Arabidopsis thaliana: one gene and its partner. The protein of the gene in region 2 interacts with the protein of the main gene of each other region in a pairwise test. Each region holds a gene or a part of one and is shown on either strand. Other genes may lie near its edges.

Region 1 (4,720 bases), on a different chromosome or scaffold from region 2:
GTTTGTGCTGATTGTCTTGCTAAGAAGGCAAGAGCACGAGGTTCTATTTTTTCCCATGTAAGCTTTTCTACTCCGGACTGGTTTTCTCTAGAAGAAAACCGCCCGCTTTTAGCTTAAATGAATGACCTTATTTTGTCGTAAAAAAAAAAAAAGAAAAGAAAATGAACTATATCCTACATTTACATTCTCTTTGGTTGGTCATAATGATTGGTGTGATTAATCATGAAAATTACGACAATGATTATAGCTTTTACATTTTGAAAATTTATATGGGGATCGTAATAATTCATAGAAAACATGGGAAAAAGTGTCTTAGATCTCAGTTTTCTTCTATTCTCATAATGTGAAATAATGGTGTCTTGCAAATATTGTTATGTATCATTATGGTTCATAATTGGAGAATCCATTTGAAACGAAATTTCTCATAGCCACACACTTATCAATAACTGGTTCAGTTCAATTCACATGATTTCTAGTTTAAAACTAACAAATATGAATAAGTTATTTGATAATTTTATACTTAACTAGCTAATAGTATATTTTCGTGTGTGTTTATGCTAGAGAATAAATGCTTACAGAAATTTGAACTTGGTGCTGAATAGTGAATACATATGTAGAGTGAAGGAATCCCAATAAAGAGACTGTGAAATATTGTCTGTAAGCATAGCTGTGCCTAAGATTAGTGAGATCATCGGCGGTGTTTAGAAAAAATCTCAACTCATATAATAACCATCATCATCATCCTCCCAAAACAGTAAAGAAAAAGAGCTAAAAACCAAAATATCAATCTTAGTTCTTTCTTTATCACAGTGACACAGTGGGTGCAATCTACGATGGTTGTTCCTATAAAATGGTGTAAAACCTTTGGTTCAACCCAAATCAGTTTGGTTTTTCCGATGGAATTTTTGGCACGGTTTTGGCTCGGTTGAAATTGGGTTTACTCGAATTACATGTTAGACCAACAACAAACGACACAGTTTTTAGAAACAAAAGTACTTGAAACTTTCAAACGACGAGTTTAACATTGCACAAATTCAAACTAGACTACTCTTACTCCTGCCCAAAGCCATCACGGTTCTCTTGTGGCCACCCAAAACTTTGACCGTCTCTACCCCGGTTAACCTGCTGGGTCGTGTGAGGCGGTGCCATTCCGGGATTCCATGATGGAGGAGGATACGATCCTTGGAAATTCAGATTCGTCATTGGTGAAGGCGGGGGATACCCGAGCAATGAACTTTGTTCTGATCCGCCGCTCTCTGTTCTTGTCATCTCGTACTGAGCACCGTTAAAGAATTGTTGAGATGATCCACTCTCTGTTGTTGGATACGAAGGAAAACCAAACTGCTGTGGTAAACCCGGGTTTTGATTCATTGGAACGGGCAAGCTGGGCGGTTGCATAAGATTCATAGGCTGGGGGTAGTCTGGGAACCGGATTCCTGGTTTAGGACTAGCGGTTTCGAATCCAGGAGGGCGAGAGTTATCGCTATCTGGAGGGTAATTCTGGACTTGACTAAATCCAGACTGTGACTTTGCAAATGACGCCGACCTGTTTAGTTCACGGGATTGTTGCAGCTGGGATCTTAAAGGAGCTCGCAAGGTGGATTCTGAAGCTGAAGACTGCTGCATTGTGCTCTGAACATCTGACTGGTTACCATCTTCTTTCTCTGCATCGGCTTGTAATAGGCTTCCATGGAGGTCATGGACATGGGCTTCAAAGTCAAGTTTCTTCAGGAAAGACCTAAGACAATGAGGAGCTGCACAGATGAAGATCCCTTCCATCATCTTGATTGTTTGAATCTTCTGAATCCGCTCATCACATCTGTGCAGTAATCACACACACAAGAGACAACAAGATTTCAGTCTGATAATCGCTACGCCTAGTAAATCTTAAAATGTCTCTGTAGATTACTAAACAATCTAGAATATCTCTATCAAAGCTTCTAATGAAATTCGAAGCCTAGTTCAAACTATGATAATCCTGCGTCTCTGTAGATTACCAAACAATCTAAAGTATCTCTATCAAAGCTTCTAATGAAATTCGATGAGAGTTAAAGATGGTTACAGATAGCAGATGGAATCACTGCGAGCACATTCAAGGCAAAAGGCATGATCACAAGGAATCTGCAAAACCAAAACAAAACAAAAAAAGTTTCAATCACATATAGAAGAAGAGCCCCCTTAAAAAAACTCTTTAAGGCAAATCAATATAGCCATAAACCAATGAAGGAAGCGAAGTTTTTTACCAGACGACCATAGATTGCAATCGGAAAATCGCAACGAACGCAGAAGTGAACTCTCTCGCCTAGCTGACGGCGAGAACGACGACCGACGGGCTTGATTACGGTGGTGGGAGTCACGGAACCGATTCCTTTCGCAACAGGAAGATCGGCGAGGACGAGATGGTCGGGACAGGCTACAGTAACCGTCTCCGTCGGAGAAGGCCTCGCACCATTTCCAGTTTCCGTCGGGGAATCCCTCCGAAGACGAATTTGAAGCATTGTCGCTGTAAAAGTTACATGAACGGAACCCTAAGAAATACAAATCAAAAGAAAGAATAGGAATCAAAAGCTTCTCTAGTTACCAAGTTAAATCGGAGATTGAGATTTCAGATCTCTCTCTCTACTTCAGTTCTTCTCAAGAATCACGCCGGAGCCGAAAACGGCGAAGCAAATTTTGTTTTTGTGGGCAACGGAGGAGAATAGAAGCCTTCAAGTCTTCTGGCTGAGAAAGAGGGTTTCCATTAATTAACTTCAAGTCTTATTTTTTTCTGATCAACACTTCATATGTCTTCAACATTCCCAATTACTATATACCAACTGGATCTTATTATAAACTTTTGTATATGGATGCATTTTTTTTGGTAATGGTTGTATATTTCAGTCTTATCGTACTAGGAAATTCCAGATTTTAGGCTTGTTGCTTTATAAACTCAAAAAGATGTGCAAGTTTTTGCCTGCATTTAAAAAACCCTATTAAGATGAATTTCCATAAAACAATAATTTGATTAGTCTTACAAAGAAAGATAAGGCTTGGAAGAAAACATGAGGAATGTAATGTAGATTTTGCGGAATTCTAAAAACATAATCAACAATCGACTTAGAGTTCATTCTCACTAGCTTTCTATTTCTTCAAGTCTCTTCCTTCACTTTCTTTGAAACCGTGTCCCATAAATCAGTCTCCTCCTTCAGTTTCTTAGCAATCAAATTCCATAATGTCGTGCTCAAAGCAGAGGATGTCACCAAGGAAGCTCTCAACAAATCCAAAGCCTAATTCAAAATCAAGTGTCAGTCAAGTTCCTTTCAAGAATACAGGATCAAAAAGGGTATACAGAAACATACCTCTGCATTGCTGATACTAATTACTTGCACCTCTAGATCGTCTGCGTGACTCTGCAACTTCTTTAGTAAACAAACTGTGGAGCAGGAGTTCATAGATGTAATGGTCAGATCATCTAATACAGTACACTTTGTCGCTTTCTTCAAGAACCCCTGAGCAGACTTATCGCTGCCACGGGATTTGGGATCCTTCAAATCCACCCGAACGATTCTGTCTTTGCGGTAATAAGTAGTTCGATTACCGTTTGTAGTCAAACCATAGTTCATTTGCCTGTAATCGTAGAGCCTGTAACGGTAGTACACCGGAGGTTGTTGAGTGATAATACCAGGCAGTTGCATCTGGAAATTATAGAAAGACGGAAGTGCGCATGTGGAAGTTGACATTTGAGTCTCCTCATTTAAGTCCCTGAAGGTTCTACACATGTTTCCTATGCAACCTAAGGAGATACTGCTGCCAGAGATTTCCCATGCAGATTCAAGCGGGACAGCAATAAAAGAGAAAAGAAGCTCAACAAATTCCTCTCCGCATTCAACAAATAAAATCTTCATGTCCTGCTTCCTCACAAATGCTTTCAAAGTTACTACCTTTTCAGGTTCTGCTTCATCTTCTTTTTTCTCCAAACATGGACTTTGCGATTTGTAAAACTTCGTCGCACCTTGTGTAATCTTCTTGTTCAAGAAAATGTCCTTTAAGGGAGCATTTGAGGAGAATATACATCCCAGCAGAGTCAGTACCTAGTCCAAGATTCAGATATAGTAAGAGAGAACTAATAAAGTAATGATAACACAAACGCTTGAAGAATAAACTAACTAACATACCTCTTTCACACCAATATCAAGAAGCCTTTCACCGAGCTTACCAACATCAGCACAACCTAAGGATTTGAGCTTATTCAAGACAAGTTCAGTGGACTTGACTGACACTTCCAAGTCATCGGTTAAGACGAATGAACACCTACCGCTGACAAATACTCCATTATCATCATCTTGAAACCGGCCTAAATCTTGTTCCTCGTTTTCTAACTGAATCTCCTCGTTCATAAATTTTCCGCAACGACATTTAGAGGTGCTGAAATTACTGTACAAGCCGCAGTAACTTGAGCACTTAAAACACTTGATGTCCTCAGTAGGGTTTATGTTGAGCTTAAGCCTTTTGCACTGGAGGTCTTTCACACTCTTCGGATACACAAGCATCTGCTTACAAGCTTCAGTCTCAAAACAATCACTGCCCATGTCCACAACACTTCTATAGAGATTGTTAAAACAGCCCAGAGTTACTGGCTCAGATTTTCGATGATTCTCAAGCAATCTGACAATGGTTCCCATTGGAAGTGTCAGAAGGCTGAAGAGTACATCAACAAAATCCCTACAAGCTTCAGCCAAAA
Region 2 (4,316 bases):
ACTGTGTTGTGGAATGATTCAAGCCTTCCAGATCCAATCATGCCAGGATCTAACTCACACCGGCAAACAGGACAAGTCTTGTGTAACTCAAACCAAAGATCAATGCAATTTGAATGAAAGGGATGACGACAAACCGTTATGAGCCTAACTGTATCTTCATCTGAAAACTCTGACAAGCAAATAGCGCATTCCGTCCCATGATTTTTCTTAGTTGCAGATGAATAGTGGAATACAGGAAAGGACCGGATGATAAACGGGTCGAGGCCAGTATTTTCAGGCGGAGTGGCCACATGGATTAGGTCACCGTAAGGTGTTCGTTGAAGGTTCCAAGTAGTAAATAATCGATTCAGAAGAAACTGCCATAAGAAAAGAGAGAAGAATCCGGCGAAAATTACAAAGAGAAGAACACCGGTCAAAACTACGGTGACAGGCATGGAAACACTAGGGAAAACAGCAGTAGCTGGTATTGAATCTATTGATGTTGTTGACGACATTTGAAGGTTGATGATTAGAGAAACCCCCAGATTCTACCAGTTTCGTAGATTGCTTGGGATATAAGAAAGGTTGTTCTTACAAATCCTTGTGAGAAAAGGAGTATTATTGTTCAAGTTAATAGAGAGAAATGAGGAGAATAAAGTGGCTATGTCTGAGAGACAGAAGTGGCTTTGCTTACCATTTTGAGCGAGTCTTTTGTGACAGTTAAAATCGTTGTCTTAATAATAAATCATTTTACTGTTAAAAATAACTCAAAACGAAAAATTAATATTGACCATGGAAATAAAGAAAAAGGTTTAGGTAGCAATGATGATCCGGTTTACAAGTACGCAACATTATTTAGTTCGGTTTGATCTTCTGCAAGATTAGATTTAGGATTGACAAAGAGAATAAACAAAAAGATGAGAGTTTTTGTCTTTGTTGAGTGAGTCACAATCTACAACCACAGAAGGGAGGAAGCTAATATGTCCACACAGTTACAAGTCTAAAAGAAGCTATACCTTGATCAACAAATCAGTGAAAATGCAGTGACTTTACTCAATATCGTCGATCCAATCACCATAAACACGACTGATTTTATCTGGTCCTTTCCATTTCCGTTGAGTTCTGACTCCGTTGGGTTTCTGCGTAACAGCACTAGATGTCCGTTGGGATGAGACTCCAGGAGAAACAAGGCTAGTCACTGTGTCTACTTGTCCTCTCTGCTTTGTGTCCAAAGTGGCGGATGTTCCGATCTTACATTCTCCTTCAACGAGTCCTCCGCCAAATGTATGCAACTCTGCAAAAGATACCATAAAGACTCAAACTTTTAGCTAGCGACGATTGAAACTTTCTGCATTTCCATAGCCATTAGGAACAAGCAGATCAAGAATTCTTTCCAATCAGAAACCAATTGACATCATCACGTAATGGCAATGTAGCAATAGGAAACATTTCAACAATCTCACTCGATCCACTTTAAGTCCATTAATAGACATTGTCACCAATCCATTCACCAAGCACGATTAACTAATTGGCACCCACAGTCCATATAAAGAATCCTCAAGGAAACCAATACCATTACATATACAATTCAACAGACTTAACTTAAGCTAATAAAGATAGTTCTAGTGTTCAAAGATGATCTCTTAGTCCAGAGAATTAGCATCCATTAACCTCTAGTGACACTCTAAACTCACAGTTCATCAAGCAACACCGATTAAAACCCATTTCTAAACTACATTCGTTGGGGTTACTAATAGATGAAAAAGGCCGTAGCTTTACCTGAAGGTCCATGAGCAAAATGGCAGTGAGAACCAAAAGGACAATAGCCAGTAGTCTGCCACTTATTGCAAATCCTTGTCTTCCAATTCGGAGACTTGAGAGTCTGAGCAACATTGCCACGAGGGCCTAAACTAACCGCAAAGCTTTCTCTGTTTCTTGAAGCCTCTGTCACCGTCTCCTGCCAATTGGGCGGCGGCGGCGGAGGAAGACGGAGCTCCTCCGCGCTGTGAGCAAAGTGGCAAGAGCTCGCGGAGTAGGGACAAGTTCCGGCGCGGAATTTGAAGCAAAGCTTCGTCTTGAAGAACGATTTCCCGATCTCGGAGGAGGAGGAAGATCGTGTCTTCTTGCTCGGAGACTCTGCGCCATCAGAGTTTATGGCCCAGACACGGCTGTAATCATCCTCAGTGGCCCAGACGGAACTGTCGCCGGAATTTGGAAAACAATTCTCAGGCGGAGGGTCGTGGGTGATTCTCACGTGAACTGCATCACTGCCGTAATCTCGCCGATGACTCATCACGTCGACCAAGAAACCCTAAACCCTAACCCAGGAGTAAAAGCAAGAGGAAGTGGAAAGAGATAGAGAGAGAAAGAGTAGATGAAGAGGAAGTGGAAAGTAAAGTAGAGTAAAGCCACTCAAAATCGTACTAGTAGTAGCATTTATATAAGGATCAAAATGTGATTAGCTATAAAATCAATAATGGTCACAGATTAAATAAAAGAAAGAAGTTTAACTAATGTTGATAATTAAGACGAGTAAAACAAAAGTTGTTAGGCAGAGAGGATTTCTATTTTTAAGAGCTTCACTTGCTCTACTAGTTTAGCAAGTTGTGTAAATTCACTTCACACTCTCTGAATCGATTCTACCATATGAAACCGCGCTTGTACATTTCAAGAATCCAACCCAAACAAGTTTTACAATGCTGACTAATCTCGATCACCACTTCTTTCAATTCTCAAAGAAAACTCAATTGTCTCTTTGAATTCCACATTGCTATCACTTGCACAACTCGATACTCCATCATGGCGATTTCGTAAATAGATGAAACTAACTTACACGGGTATAAATTATAACCGGAGACGCCAACTCTTACTTACTTGTAAAACAAGCTACTGGAGAGAAGCTTGATTCTTGAAACTTATCCCTCATAAATGTCCCAGCAAAGCCACCGATGATTATAAATTATCACCTCACCTCATTGAACACGGAAAGGGGATCCTAGCAGCTCACCCATTGTGGAAGAAATTTTCGATCAGAGCACATCAACATCCAGGCCCTCCATCATCTCACGATGAATCATTATGATATCAACACATAAGATTTTTGTTGATTTACTAAATTGGTATACATCTAGTGTTTGGTAATATATAGGCTAGAGTTAAGTATCTTTAATGATACAACTTCCATTGCTTGCTTCATTATCTCATCCGCATGCAACCTATTACTTCTGACAAGCCTCTCAAGGAAGAACCCATTGTCCAGGGAAGAGCTGCATCAGAGTCTTTCCCAGAATCCAGTCCATCTCAGAACTTGACAAGGATGCTTCTTTTGCAATGATAGTCACAGCTTCTTTAGCTTCTTTATATCCACATTCAAGAACAACAAATGGGAAGTCACTGCAGCAGATGGAAAACAGCCAATCCGTATATGATCATGTATTGTTAGTAGATATAGAAGGTTTTTTGTGGTTTTTAGTCGGGAAAGCGAGGTAAATAAGTATGTTTACCTGCCCCACATGACACGATTTGCCCCAAAATGGGACACAAGTTGAGATAGGAGAGGCGATAGGTCCTGATACGGGAAGCCGGTTCTTGAGATCCTGAATAGAGCACTGAATTTCACATATACCTGCTTGTTACAATATTCTTCCCTCAGACTCGTATAATCTATAATCTATGAGAATTCAGATTCTAAAAGTAATTTTTTTTTCTTTTTCACCTGTGGAAATCTAGACAGCTTCATGAGTTGAGAATAAGCAAGCTTTGCCTCACCACTTCTGCAGGTTGTTGAAACCATGAATATTAGTACTACATTCTATAGGAATTTCAGGGGACGGGATTATTTTTCACAAAAAGCAAAGAACAGCTCACTCTGGTACTTTGCAGAATCCAGCGTGATCTAGTAAAACAGTTGTCTTTGGAAATTCTGTGCAAAGTTCCTCAATTTCTGCAATGTGAAGATCTAGACCCTGAATAAAGAAAACAAGATTCTTAACGAAAGAACTTCGCGTAAACCACACAACTTTGGAGACCACAAAGGTGAAAATACTACCAGACCTTCATGCACATGAAGCCAACAGGCACACAAAGCTCCCCTGCTTTAGAGAACAAGGCTTTACCAACAGCATTTGTCATCTGTGTTGAGTCATTGACAATCAACAGAATACGGTGGAAACTTGATCTAAGGTCATTGGAATGGTTAAACTGTTACCTTCTGACCCGATGGCCACAAGTAGGGATTAAACCGAACAGCACGATAATTACTCTACAAAAAAAGATTTAAGTACTCTCAGAAATGAGATGCATATATAATATTTGGAGATGCTTTGAGTAACAGTGAA

The links.
Region 1: the proteins of AT2G35430 (region 2) and AT5G01160 interact in binary tests that used the Arabidopsis thaliana proteins (3 or more experiments, as listed by UniProt).

The regions. Positions count from the first base shown.
Region 1 is NC_003076.8:52,058-56,777, reverse strand, and holds AT5G01160 (RING/U-box superfamily protein), read right to left. Parts: upstream 2,923-4,720; 5' UTR 2,582-2,922; exon of another isoform or gene 2,504-2,581; 5' UTR 2,499-2,503; coding exon 2,244-2,498; intron 2,122-2,243; coding exon 2,063-2,121; intron 1,820-2,062; coding exon 1,051-1,819; 3' UTR 726-1,050; downstream 1-725. Other genes in the region: AT5G01150 (hypothetical protein (DUF674)), read right to left, coding at 3,129-3,266, 3,339-4,070, 4,155-4,720. UniProt on the Arabidopsis thaliana protein: Probable E3 ubiquitin-protein ligase which is a subunit of the N6-methyltransferase complex, a multiprotein complex that mediates N6-methyladenosine (m6A) methylation at the 5'-[AG]GAC-3' consensus sites of some mRNAs.
Region 2 is NC_003071.7:14,899,986-14,904,301, forward strand, and holds AT2G35430 (Zinc finger C-x8-C-x5-C-x3-H type family protein), read right to left. Parts: upstream 2,401-4,316; 5' UTR 2,273-2,400; coding exon 1,759-2,272; intron 1,274-1,758; coding exon 1,029-1,273; 3' UTR 719-1,028; downstream 1-718. Other genes in the region: AT2G35420 (RING/U-box superfamily protein), read right to left, coding at 1-494; AT2G35450 (catalytic/ hydrolase), read right to left, coding at 3,216-3,372, 3,483-3,604, 3,695-3,752, 3,847-3,944, 4,033-4,110, 4,187-4,240.